Styela clava: one gene and its partners. The protein of the gene in region 3 purifies or fractionates together with the protein of the main gene of each other region. This does not show direct contact. Links are inferred from orthologs where the notes say so. Each region holds a gene or a part of one and is shown on either strand. Other genes may lie near its edges.

Region 1 (4,932 bases), on a different chromosome or scaffold from region 3:
ATGGTGTTGTAGCACACAAAAAACGATAAACAGCCTTCTAGCGAAAAATATAATCTTTACTCACTGAAAATTACAAAGCAATTGGTCCAGTAATCAAGGAGAAAAGCGATTTTTTGTTAAGGAGAAAAGCGAGAAAAACGAGGAACTTTTCTATACTTCACAATTGTAAAATTTTCGGTGCTTATTTTAATAATAGTTTCGTGAGTTGGCGCCTGTGAAATTGGGTATTTGTTTCAAACCATCATTCTGATTCATAGCATTCAACAATCTCTTTTTTAAAAGTACCGATAACGAATTTTAGCCTAGTCTATCACAGCTATTTCTACACTAATTTTTGATCACTGCAATTAAACTGAAACTTCTAGGAAGACGAAGTGATCATTAAATTATTTGATTTATATTTAAATGTCCAAAACACATCTGAAAACTAATGAACAAAATTCTGAAATGCGAAAATGAGGCATTGTTCACGACCACGCTTGGAAATCTGTTTGAGTGAGAAAAGCATCTGAGCGGATGCAAAAAGGGAGCATTGTTACGTCACTATTTGCATCTTGCTGATTGGCCAATGTCACGAAGTAAACAAGGAAATTGATGCTTGAGGAAACATCCATTGAATACCGAATGGACCTTCCCCCGAGCATCGACTTCCTTGTATACTTCGTGACATTGACCAATCAGCAAGCTGCAAAACGTGACGTAACAATGCTCCCTTTTCGCATCTGCTCGGACACTGTTCTCACTCGAACAGATTTTTGAGCGTGGTCGTAAACATTACCTCGTTTTCGCGTTTTTGAACTATATTCGTTAGTTTTTAGTTGTGTTTCGGAAACTTAAATATAAATCAGATGAACAGATTGTTGTATGCAAACACATACCCCATTTTACAGGCGCCAACTCGCAAAAGCACTCCTAAAATAGCCCCGAAAATTTTGCAATGGTGAAGTATAGGAAAAAATTTGCGGGTGTCAAAGGTCGAGAAAAGGCCCATTAACTAACAGGAATTATTAGATGTGTACCGACTACCGGTATAAAAGTATTCCTCGAAAGATATCGTCAAGCTGATTATAGTCAGAGTCACCTAATGCCAAATTGCCCAATCAGAATTGTCAAGTTGGATGAATGAAAATGTGGATAGACCTAGTTCACTCTATAGTAGTGATATGATAGCATAAAAGTCATATTGGGGATGGCTAAATAGGTTGATGGGTGTCAAATTAGGAATGACAAAATACTGAAATAGGGTCGATGAGTCAAAATCTCAATGGTTGCAAAAGGGATGGCGAACTACGTTCGATGCGTTTCAAAATAGAGATGGCAAAATGCGGGTAGCCCAAACTGCTGGCAGATGCATGGACTTTGCAGCTTTGGTATGCAGAAAGACGTACCGGTACCGTACGGTTTTGTAGTTGAACTGTGAACGAACAACCCATACCGGTACCGGTACCAGTAGTTTTGCACTTTCACTAAATTTTATCGCTTCAGTTGTAACCTTTCAAGAATTTAGAGACATACGGTAGGCTACTCGTACCGTTATTATTTCCTTGTTAGACTTGCTTAAGGGTGCCGCTGCTCAATAACCAAATTTGGTTTCTTGTGGCTCCCCTCACCCTGAAATGCCTTTTTATTTATTTATTGCAATTTGTATATCAAGTGTGCATTTAGTATGGTGAGAAAATAAACTACTGATTACCGTGGGTTTACCGGTAATGCTATAATAAAATAGAGCTGTAGAGAGTGAAATGTCAATAGCAACAAAATATTTGGGCTGTTATCAGGACGAGAGGCTACGGTGTTGGTTATATGATAAAGTCGTCTCATCGGTTTTTCTCTCTGAATTTTAACTTCTAGCTTTCTTTATCACGATCTTTGTTCCTGGAAAGACATCATGATTATTGCTTTTTTGTGCAGCAGTAGGTAGCCTAGTTCAGGAAATTTGTATTTTACAATTTGGGTCTCTTATATTGCAGTGTGTTGATATTTAAACCTTAAACATGTCTCGGCAAGGAACATATTCATATGTGGAAGCATTTATTCAAAAAACTATTCCTAAAATAAAAGAGCGAGATTTGAAAACTTTGAAGTCATCTTTGAGAAACAAGCCTATTATGTTGGTAGGAGAACAAAAGAGAGCTAAAAAGAGAAAACGTGAAAAACAGAATAAGAGAAGAATAAAGAATCGCATATTGGCGAAACCTACAAATTCAAACTATCAAGATTATGAAAAACTGCGTATTTTATGGATGGAATACATCACAGATTTACTCTCGGATTATCAGACATTAAAACCAGGAGAAACCAAACCATCTTTGGATAACAAAAACGCACAGGAAGTTTTGTTGAAAGCAGATTATCATGGAGCAGATCTGTCTGTGACAGGTTCACCTTGTAAATCTCATTTGGGTTTGAGTGGAACAGTCCTTCAGGTGTGCCAATATATCTGTATTATTAACCTTTTTTATTAACTCATTTTGTCCTTGTTTTGAAGTGCACTGGCACAATATGTGATTTCATCATATATCAATGGTATTTACAGATTCAATACTAATTGGTGATTGCACTCTACACATGCAACTTTTGACCTCATAATATATAGAATAAATTATTATGTTTCCTGATTATGATAACTGGATGACTTGGTAATTCGTTCAAAGGATTGTTCAGTGTGTTAAATATGCATACCAATATTTCCGTTTTTTTATTAAATTAAGTTATTTTATCTCATTTTTTCAGGAAACAAAAAACATATTTTTGATCTGCACCAAGGAGAACAAATTAGTGAGAATTCCCAAGAACAAGACTATATTCACATTGGAATATTCTGGATATCTTATAACAATATTCGGATCACAATTTTGCTTCAAGCCATCTCATAGACTCATGAAAAGATTTACGAAAAATCCACGCTTAAAAGAACTTTTGCGATGATATAACTTTTTTGCAATGCAGTTAAACTAAAATTGTTAAAGATCGGAGTTTAATGCTAAGTGATTTGTATTTCATCAAAAGCGTAATTTGTCTTCTGTTGCTTAGCAACCATCTTTTCAAAAATGTGGAAGGATATTAGTTATTAATTGCAGCACATAATTGTTAATTTCACTCAGTGTTGCATATAGATATCTTTATATCGTTTTAATGTTAAGGCCTTTTCAATTCACAATAGGTTCTCCAATACTGCTTCTCCATCTTCGAGGCTAGATAAATCTTTGTCACCGATCACCGCATATATGATTAGTTTTAATACGGGAAAATTGTGAACAAAGTGTATCAACAAAGTGACTCGCACAGACCATTTATTTTTACACAATTTTATGCGAACTCAATTATTATTAACACCCTACTTGGCCTACTAGACGTCGTTCTGTTAACTTATTCCATACTTCACTGCCTTAAATGGACCTTAGTTACTGCCTCTGGTTCAGAGGCTTATTAATAGGTAATCAACGTAGTGCAATCTTCACAGGAAATAGGTTTGTTTAAAAACAATACTACAGTATAAATTCTGAATGAATAACCATTTACAGTCTTTGCGATTAATTAAAACTCTGGAAATACAACACTCTCCCATTCAAGAACCATCGACATTCGACACCTGTGTATTTCTATTTATATCATTGAAATTTATATGGTGTTCGTTCAACTCTTACATTTTACTCAAAGAGAAAACAAGTGAAATATTATTTTGTAAGACGTGGTAACTAAATATAAGGACAATGAACTGGCAACTTGCATTTACTGACATTGCCACCCTCTCACATCCAACTCTATTATCATTTTTCTTGTAGTTTAGTGTTACTATATTAAATATGAATATATAGATCATGGAATGCATCAGAAGGTTAACAAGGGTGAAACTCCATCAATTCTCAGCTTGTAAGTCAAAATTTTTCTCGAGAATTTGTTTCAATCATTCAATTTTCAAATACAGGCATTTATCGAAAGTATATTTTTCAGCACCAACATTAAAAATCCCAAGTTGCTGTGCATCGACTGGTGGTAAAAGTAACACAAGGAATAAGAAACAAATAAATAGGAAAAGATATAGAGGAATTAAAGTTGACGATGGTGGGTTCTTGTAGAGATTAACCTTTTTTCATTCCAAATTTCTACTCCCCCTTTTGAGATGTTGGGCAATTCCAGCGTTACTTTCGTTACATCTGAGCAAATTTTCAAATTTCAAACTGACTTAACCTAAAACGTATTAGAAGTATGCAAGTCACATTGTTACTAGTTGTAGATGGCGTTAGGGGTGTAACATAGACACCATAGAGGTGGCGATACTATGGACTACTTTAACATAGGAATGTCCCGAAACACCGTTACTTGCGTTACAGAAAGAGGACAAATGAGATAAGATATTAACACCAACTAACTACTTTTTGCCATGTCACTAGAGAATATAGTTCAATTGTAAAACCATAAAAAATTAGGTGAAAAACTTTTGTCTGAATAGCAAAATTTTCATTAGGAAGAAAAAATGGTCCGTTACTTACGTTACAAATTACAATCATGATTCGATTTTTGTTTTGATGGCAAATTTGATATTAAGTCAATATTTGACATTCAATTTCCGTGAGTTCAAATTTTTAAATAATAAATCCTTGACTAGATGATAAATTCTACAAATAAAATAGGCAATTCAAATTTCCAGCGTTACTTTCGTTACATCTGGGCAAATTTTTAAATTCAGACTGATTTAACCTAAAGCCAATTACAAGCATTCAAGTAATAGTGTTTCTAGTTGTATATGGCCTTGGACCTGTAACATAGACACCATAGATATGGAAATACTAGGGACTACTTTCACATAGAAGACCCATTAAAACTGATACTTGTTTTGAAAATGAACAGAAGCTTTTTAGTGGAATTTTGATGTGGCACATATCTCAAGATATTGTCACCAATCAACAGCTTTTTCCCATGTCAATGGAG
Region 2 (5,216 bases), on a different chromosome or scaffold from region 3:
CGCTGCGGGCCTTGAACGGTTGCTCACATGCAGCCCAAGTTGAAATCTACGATACTCATCACCCTTTTTCGTTTAGGCATCTCCGTAGTATTTTAAAACTCTATCGCTTTGTGATGTCACAATATATGTTCCAGAATCCCCATGTTTTGTCACAATGTCTGTCTGGTAATTTTCTTACATAACATAGACATGCGCTGGGCCCGCGTTGTCAAACGTATTGGGAATTTTTTGCCAAATTTGGCCATAAAATAGTTTGAAGTCTAGTAACAATAGTAAGCTTAATCTTAGAATAATAGATTTTTCTGGGAGCCATATGCCGTCACCAAAAGAGCCATATATGGCTCGCGAGCCATGGGTTCCCGACCCCTGCTCTATACTTTGATTTCATTCAGTATTAATAAACAATTAAGGGAAATGATTATCCTGTTATTTACCTGTAGGACAGCTCTATCACTTGTGTGCTGTGATACCGCCTGTAGCATCGCTTTCATTTCTTTGGCAGATGATTCTACTTTGTCAGCCACACAGATGGCTAAAATATATCAAGAAATAAGAATTGACACTTATCACCTGTAGAAGTGTGATAGGTATTTAAAAAAAAAGGGGGATTCATGAGAAAATTGTAAAGCCTAAATCATCTTGATTCTTGATTATCAATATTGCAATTTGATGTTGAATATAAAATTTTGATGTGGCGAACCAGTTAAAAAAATTAGTAACTACCATAAGAATTGTCAAGTCATTCAACCAGAAGTCAAATCCAGTTGATGGCCATAAAAGCAAACGATACCAAATACAGTAAGATCAAAATTTTTCAGTTTAAAATAATGAGGATAACTAAAATTGGTATATAATCTCAATTATTATTATAAATTATTTTTATGTCATTTTTTCCCATTTTACAAAATGAAATTAAAAAAAACATTACCATTGCTGCTACATATGGAGGTTCAAATATCCAATATTGAAATGGATTTTAAAACAAAATTTCAGAAAATTCAGTAGTAATCTCATCCATGGCTAGATTTTGTTTTAATTTAATCACCCAACTAAAATTGGCCGAATCAATAAATTCGGTAAGTTGAAGAACGAAACTTTCAAACGAATATTGCATGTGTGAATGGATGAGGATGACTGAAGAAACTAAACTATTTGCGGAGCAAAGAACCAAGGTTCCGATCAAATTCTTCTTTTTTTGTGAAATTTTGTACCTAGTGGACATAAACACTAGTGAGATGCTGCTGTGCAAATACCTAAAAAGACATGAACTGCTTCTATACATTGTACATGAATATTGAATATTACCTCTAGGAATTTCAACTTGGCTTTGTGATTCCGAATCAACCATATCTTTGTAATATTCATGACGAGAAGCTGAAAAATGATTGGTAAAAAATGAAATTATGCTTTGATGATTTATGTAATTTTATTAGTATACAAAATTTTATACCCATGACATGTATAGTCAGATTTAGTATTTGGTACAAGTACTGTGGTCGGAAATAAAAAAAAAAAATTCAAATCGAACTTAAATGATTGCATACGCTAAAGTTTTTTATTTCAAATTTTGTTATCAGGAGTCAGGAGCTGGAAAGTTTTGGTAACCTAAAGAAGACTCCATAACCCTGGTTGTTCAGTTGTTTTTGACTGCATATAATCAACAAAAGTCTCTGCATAATTTTTGCCAAATATGACATATTAAATTCTATGAACTATGAAGTGCTTTCTCTCATCTAGGTTTGGAGAAATTTTACAGGATTTAGCAAAAATAATGAAAACCGGCAAATTTGTTGATATCTGATAAAGGTTGTCCAGAAAAAAATTGAGAATTCGAAAAACAAATTGATTTAACAAATTTAACAACTTATCAGTATCTCAAGTTATATTTAATTTCTAGACAACATACAATCTTTCTTCTTGTTGACTACCACATTCTGTGGCTGATATCTCATTCGTTTCTTCCAGCGAACGATACGATTAGTAACAGAATCTTGTTGCTGCTCAGAACCAGCTTTACCGACTTTGGCAGATGCATCTGTTGAAAAATTTGGTCAAAATATTCAAAAGCAAGTACGAAACAACCAATGAAATTGAAAATGTTTGGCAGTTTGTCGATCATGCTGCTCATCGTCAAGTCAAGCTGAGTTGAATTACCTTTTAGCTGTGAGTTTTATGATATTAATTAAGGTTGAAATTTTATATTAAACCATTGCAGCAGATGACTGATGAGGTATTTAAAAGAATTAGAATAACTCATTGAAAATGATATCCTGATGTAACCTCTCATATTAATTCTAATTATAAAGTTCAAGAACATCGTAGTTAGGTAGATAATCTCACACTACCATAGAATCATGTTAACTAGCTTCTTACTTTGAGATATACTAGCAGCTTTGCTATTACTCTGTTTTGCCTCCATTTTTCAATCCTACGAGTTTAATGAACTGAAAGAAAAGATGACTGGTTTAAATATCAATTATTAAGCAAAGATATTCTACCAGAAAAGAAAGTTCAAAATACAGAAATGTAGCTACGGATCCGAAGAAAAAGAACCGTTCTTGATCCAAGACATTATTGAGGCTATTATCAAAAATTTTATAGTCAGGAAATGGGTATAGAGAAGTGTTTATAACATATGGTGTGTTTATAACGACTAAGCCACAGCACCAAATCGTCAATTTAGAACATGAAAAGTGTTTCATACTTCAGTAAATTTAAACATTTGGATGTTTTTTGCAGCTATTATTCAGAAATGTCATGTAAATTTGAAAATATTACTTACCGTTTCACCATGTAAAATTTTTCCTTTGAATTATCGATGAGTCTTGAATAAAATAGCAAGTACCGGTATGTAAAACATGATCAAAAAAGGAGTTTCCGAAAACCTAATTATCAATTTTAGTATAGTGCTCTAACCTTTATAAAAACAAGAAAGAATCATACATAATACATTCAAGCACAAAAAAATTAGCTACTGTGAAATTCGAAATAAGGATCGAGCAAAATGATAGGACTAAGAACTATCTATGATACCCGTTTCACTACGCATTTTGTTCAATTTGATACGAAATAAAAGTTCACGAGCAATCTAAATCTGTTTCACTCATATTACATCATTAATAACCTAATTAATAATCATACCATCATAGTAAAACCAAAGTCATTTTTCAGAAGTGTACTTTTTTTGAATTTCCGTCATCTTGGACCAGTGACCATCTTCTGGTCTAGGTTTCAAAACTGAACCCGATTTAGTTTTGATTTTAGGTAGTGCCTTATGTCCTTTATAAGGTTTGGCTGTACAGATATGCAAATTACAAAAATGGGGTTTCATTAACAACCCATAAGCTAATTAGGTTCTATTGTGCCAATATGTTACTGAAAAATAGCTGACTAAAGAATGGCTGGTTCTAAATATCTTAGAGATGGCTAGACCATGCCTTGCTAGACAACACGTCATAAAAATATCCCTTTGAGAAATCCAGGTACAGAATATGTGTTCACATTTGAAAGTCTAGTTTTTACAAATGGAGCATGATCATAGACTTCATAATACAGGTTGAATTTCAGATCAATTATATTTTTTTTTTTATTATTGCAAACATAACTACCGGTACTTGATAATGTTTTCAAATCAAATAACAAGATTATATCAAATAGCTGGAAATTGTAATTTCACTTCAATATTCATAATCATCCATGCTTTGCTGTGGCAACAAAAATGATTGAAGTTTGTAGCAACATTTTATTACAAAGTGTAAAGTAATATCAGTTATATAAACAGCATAAATAGAAATGGAGCAACTAAGAATTTTCCAACATTCACCATGGAACTCATTTCTCAAAAACTCGGCAAAAAATTTATTTGTTAATAGGAGGCATCCAAATTTAAGTAAAAATAGTACTTCAATTTTAACAAAATAATAATTTATAGGAGCTGCTTGAAGGATAGTACCTATGGGAAGAATATAGAAGAAACAGTCTATGTTTTTACTGTGCCTGCTTGATAGAGATACATCAGTTAAACATTACGGATACTTGTTCATTACAAACTCAAACAATTAAAATTCAACAATATCAATTGGGTAACGTCAAACCTCGTCAATTACCTATACATAAATATGTATATTAGGCAATTTAATATGTTATTATTATCCAGACAAGTTATTTTGGAATGCATATATAAAAGTATGTAGCAATCCGTCTGCATCTTGAAAGTACAACCCTGTTATAAACTATTTTGCATACTAGTCAAATTAATGGATATTAACATTAAGTAATACCTAATAGTTAAATAGGTATTAAGTATATTAGCTTCACAGGATTAAGATTACTGGTTTGCACAACTCTCACTGACCATGGTTGAATAATTTATGACAACCAATTCAAAACCATAAACTTCAGTCTCCAATTACAGTATTTCACACACCAGAGTGATAAAAAGCCTGTGACAAAGTGATTGGCTATATATTGTCTTTTTCAAGCAGCAAGAGACAGGTAAGGGGGCAAATGTATATATTACTTGGCGGAAGACAATATACATCACACAATTAATCTGGAAATGGAAATGTCCATAGGTAATTGGCATTCAAAACAAATTGTTCACCAGTCAAATATTGAATACTTCATATTCTCAACTAGCTTCATCAACACGCCTTCAATAATTCAACAACGATTATAATATGGCCGCCTATAACCCTTAACACTCATTGCAGTGTGAGTGAACGTATAGAATAGCCTAGATTAAATTTGATTCTGTTTCAAATATTTTCTGCACCAGAGTCCAGAACAAAATTTAGTTTAATTATAATGAAATAGAACTTGTCTCATGGCCTACTTCGAACAAATTCAATCTATGATATTGATTCCCATTTCAATATTTCTAAACACATATTTGTGTAAAATCTACACGTTACAAAAATCATCTACATGCATTATAATTATGTCAGAAAAACTACAAGATCAGATATTGCTCATCACTGTAACACAAGTCCAACTTTTTCAGATTCTATCACAGGGCATTTATAATTGAAAAGGTAATAATTGAGATTCCCATCACCCATACCGAATTTGAGTTCCTTCAAAAATTGTCGATTATCCATCAAATCTAAAGCGTTGAACACATCATAGCCTTGCTGTTTAGCTATAATAAGCATATCTTTCATGAGTTGTGTGATATTTGTTTCTGTATGAACTGTGTAGAATGAGTAAGCAGCATT
Region 3 (3,885 bases):
GTGAATATACCCCCTGCCCATAGGTTTCAGTCCCTTTACACAACTTGATGTAAAGTAGGCGAACAAAATTAGTTACCTACATATTGGTACACACTTCTGGAGCGCCCTTCATTGTACAATATAGTGAGTAATATTGAATTAAGGTTAATCTTGCAGACTAAAGTTATATCCCATGTTTATTTTTCCAGTGGTACGTTCAAGCGGCTTGTGCAACAGAAGGAAATGGATTGTATGAAGGATTGGACTGGTTATCGTCTGAACTCCAGAAAAAAAGTTGAACTTGACGGACCAGTAATATCTACAGACCTGTTCTATCTCGAAAGCTTATGGCTCTTGGTTCAAAAAAAATAACTGCAATATCTTATTTGTCACATGTAGTAACTAAAGATTGTTTTTGTGATGTTCAATATTATAAAAACAATCTAACCAAATAGGCAATTCAACTATTTATGAGGTTGTATAGTTGTCTATAGTAAAAACCTTAACTGCTGCAGATTTATGTATATCATTTATGTTTCAGTCAACGTTTGTAAGAATAGGAAGCTGTGTATATACTTTACTGTTGGCTGTTTTGTGTACACATAGTTTGCTGATAGAAGATAAATAGAGTTACTTATTTTCATTCCAAGAATTTTTGTAGCCATGCCTGGAGGTTGAAATCGGGATGAGTCCATCTTGCCTGTAGATTACACTTCTGATGGTTAAACTTAAAATTTGAATGTCGGACTCTCCATTTTTCTCTGTGCCAAAAAATTTAATTCAACATTGCAATTAATAATGATTATCTATCTTTTTGATAAATAGGACAAAAATTTGGAAACACATCACAGAAAATTTAAAATTATCTAATTTGTAATTCCTTCGTGAAGGGTGATGCTCTTCCTTTAAGTTATTGAAATGTCTGTTGGAAGTTTGCACTTCCTTCTGTGCAGATTTTCATGTTTTTAGATTTTGCTTTGCTGATTTGTAGAATATATTAATAGGTGGGTGTTGCTATTGTATGTTTCCTTAAAATTGTGTGAAAATATTATAATACAATGGTCTAACTGTATTCTAGTTGTATTTCAGGAGTGCTTGGGGTCTTTTGAACATAGGGTTTATGGAAATAGGGATGTCCAAAACTGATTTGTGTTGCAATTGTATTTCGGTAGCCAATGAGAGTGTCCAAAACAAAACTCATAGAATTTGTTATAATGGATGCATACGAAATTCCCAGATTTCGAGAAAAATTTCAAATATCAAGTATTTGAGATCTGATAGTCTGACAGAATTTATAGACTTTATTTATTCATGACAAAAAAGTTTATTCGATAAATACCAATTAATTAACAGCGCTTTCTGCAAAATTTTCCTGCAGATTTAGTTATGTTCAATTTTATATTGGTCTCTGCTGGCTAGATAAAACCTCAAGCTTTTCAATCGCTCCATATTGTCAGATAAGATTTTGACCTCCCAAAAACAGTCATCCCCCAGGGTGACTTCCTTCCCGAAGCAATTTTTCGAATAATCAGAATCTCCTTATTTTTATCACCGGCCGTATGCGTATGGTATTTTGTTGGCTCACAACTGCCAATACAAATTTGTCTGGAAGCATCATGACAGTACTTGCTAGTGGATAAGACTGCGGCTTGACTAGGTCTGACCTGTAACACAGGGAGCTTTATAATACCCCAAAACAGATACTGTAAATTTGAATTAAATATATTTTCAGTATTATAATTCCAATTTAGCCTTCTTTGCTTCATCATCACAAATTTCCGCTTGCCTTTTGAGCATATTAGAATCACTACTTTCAATTTTTTGTATAAAAACTGCACCTTTGGCAGTTTTCCTTGCAAAACTGTGAACCACGACACATCGACAGTTATGAGACACCAGATGTGGCACCATGCTCTCTTTCATTGTAAACAAAATTCCGAGATTTGCTACGTCATATGGTCCCCTTAATTCCAGTGGATGCAAAGATTTACTCGACATTATTATATTTTTTGACTTGCAGCATTCAACCAATCTCAGAGCACATGTGGTTGTTAGCTTTCGCATTGTTGGGTCACGAACCATTGGTGAGTAGTTAAATTCAAAATGAATGCCGCGTGCGATTGCTGCACGAACTTGGTGTGTCCTTAGAAAGAATGAAAGTTTTTCTGCACCATCAAATGTTATAATATCAATATTAAGTTGGGTACATGCAGAAAGAAATAATTTTTCAGTCTTTGGTTCTACCGCAATGATATCGAATCCCCCATGAGTTATGACATCTCGAACAGTAATCTGGTCGTCTACTTCGCTCAGTTCAATCGTGATTCTCGATAACTGCGTTATTCCATCAAAATTTACTTTGTCTGGTGGGGTAGGAAGTTGCAATCTTTTCTTTTTTCCACCTCGTTTCAAAGATCCTGATGGAATATATTTTGAAAATGCTAAAACTGAATAACCCAGCTCTTTAAATGTAGTCAAAACAGAATCCATATGTTTTTGATTTTCATCATAAGGCACATTCAAATCATAGAAGCAACCCTTTGGTGGTATTGGTAAATGAGACATTATGATTTTCATGTAATGTAATATCTGGCTCTTGTAAACAAAACAAAAAATCATTCATTATACTTCAATGATCGAAACAAATAATGAAATATGGGATTCTCATGGATCAAAACATTGATATTTTAAAAAGATTTGCCATATCCAAACAAGTATTGAAATCTTGGAGATGTTACTACTGGGGTAGACAGAAAAGATACAACCATGACGGACATAAACAGAATTCTCCCTATGGCAACTTATTTCCAGACATCAATTTCTACTTTCTATCCAAGTAACTGTTTTTCACTCATTACACAAATGTGCAATTTGAACATATTTTTATGCATCTGTCATTTAATTCGGTAGTCCGTATTCTCACATAATGTATACATATCCCAACACTTCAACTAAATATTTTGGTAAATATCAACATAAGAATTTCTATAGAATGTGTTTTATATATTAGTCTCAATGTTCCATTTTGAGCATTCAATAATGTCGCAAGACAATCCTATCAACTCATAGTAAAGATATTTCAAAACCTATAATGTTATATGTATGAGTTGGCACTTCCAAATAGCTTTCCTCAATATAAAGAAATGCAAAACCGTACATTCCTATATGTGAAAAAATATTTATCTAACACAACTTTCACACCATTCATTCATTTTGATGATAAATTAGTGGAAAAGTAAACGATGTATTATTGAACATAAAAATTCATTATTCATCATCATTCAGTAATTCACACCTAGAAAATTGTGAATGGCTTAGAGGTAAAAAATCCAGGTCACTCAGAACATATTCTAGAAAGACCACAACTTTTGTGCAAAGCATCACAGATTACTAAAACTTTGGGCGCTCCAGGAGTATGTGTAACAAAATATAGAGGCAACTAATTTTGTTCGCCTATTTTACATCAAGTTGTGTGAAGAGACTGAAACCTATGGGCAGGGGGCACTCACTTGGCTAACACAGACAGTCCCTTAACTTGTAATAGAACCAAATTAAGGAAAATCGGAATAAAATTATGGCCTAGCCCTAACCTGGTACACATACTGCGGGAGTACCTACTTTGATTATACACAAACAGAAGTTTGGGTAATAAATAAATTTTCCCTATTTTCGTATAAGTAATAGAGATATTATGCATTATGTTTTTTGGTCACCTTTATATAACATGTCCAACTATGATTTCAACATGATCGACCATCCTTGACTGTATATACATTAGAATAGCTTGTGAATGTAAACAAAATACAAGCGATCACTTTTTAGTCGCTTTTCTTATGAGTGCCAATCTTTGTTTATGAGCTTCTGTGGAAACTGTTTTCTTAAAAGGTTTTATTTCATCTGAACCAT

The links.
Region 1: the proteins of ribonuclease P protein subunit p30-like (region 3) and ribonuclease P protein subunit p29-like purify together in Homo sapiens (affinity purification with mass spectrometry; 4 studies listed by BioGRID and IntAct, counting the BioPlex papers as one, with this or other methods). This does not show direct contact. The link is inferred for Styela clava from reciprocal best matches to the Homo sapiens genes RPP30 and POP4.
Region 2: the proteins of ribonuclease P protein subunit p30-like (region 3) and ribonucleases P/MRP protein subunit POP1-like purify together in Homo sapiens (affinity purification with mass spectrometry; 5 studies listed by BioGRID and IntAct, counting the BioPlex papers as one, with this or other methods). This does not show direct contact. The link is inferred for Styela clava from reciprocal best matches to the Homo sapiens genes RPP30 and POP1.

Annotation. Positions count from the first base shown.
Region 1 is NC_135262.1:12,184,484-12,189,415, forward strand, and holds ribonuclease P protein subunit p29-like, read left to right. Parts: upstream 1-1,900; 5' UTR 1,901-1,994; coding exon 1,995-2,426; intron 2,427-2,733; coding exon 2,734-2,928; 3' UTR 2,929-3,785; downstream 3,786-4,932. Other genes in the region: large ribosomal subunit protein bL27m-like, read left to right, coding at 3,822-3,873, 3,955-4,065. UniProt on the Homo sapiens protein: Component of ribonuclease P, a ribonucleoprotein complex that generates mature tRNA molecules by cleaving their 5'-ends.
Region 2 is NC_135257.1:9,024,900-9,030,115, reverse strand, and holds the start of ribonucleases P/MRP protein subunit POP1-like, read right to left. Parts: upstream 2,923-5,216; 5' UTR 2,783-2,922; intron 2,445-2,782; 5' UTR 2,420-2,444; coding exon 2,374-2,419; intron 2,036-2,373; coding exon 1,907-2,035; intron 1,375-1,906; coding exon 1,306-1,374; intron 533-1,305; coding exon 435-532; intron 1-434. Other genes in the region: glycylpeptide N-tetradecanoyltransferase 2-like, read right to left, coding at 4,974-5,216. UniProt on the Homo sapiens protein: Component of ribonuclease P, a ribonucleoprotein complex that generates mature tRNA molecules by cleaving their 5'-ends. Also a component of the MRP ribonuclease complex, which cleaves pre-rRNA sequences.
Region 3 is NC_135258.1:7,656,085-7,659,969, reverse strand, and holds ribonuclease P protein subunit p30-like, read right to left. Parts: upstream 2,599-3,885; coding exon 1,714-2,598; 3' UTR 1,599-1,713; downstream 1-1,598. Other genes in the region: ADP-ribosylation factor 4-like, read left to right, coding at 189-278; uncharacterized protein LOC120339507, read right to left, coding at 3,791-3,885. UniProt on the Homo sapiens protein: Component of ribonuclease P, a ribonucleoprotein complex that generates mature tRNA molecules by cleaving their 5'-ends. Also a component of the MRP ribonuclease complex, which cleaves pre-rRNA sequences.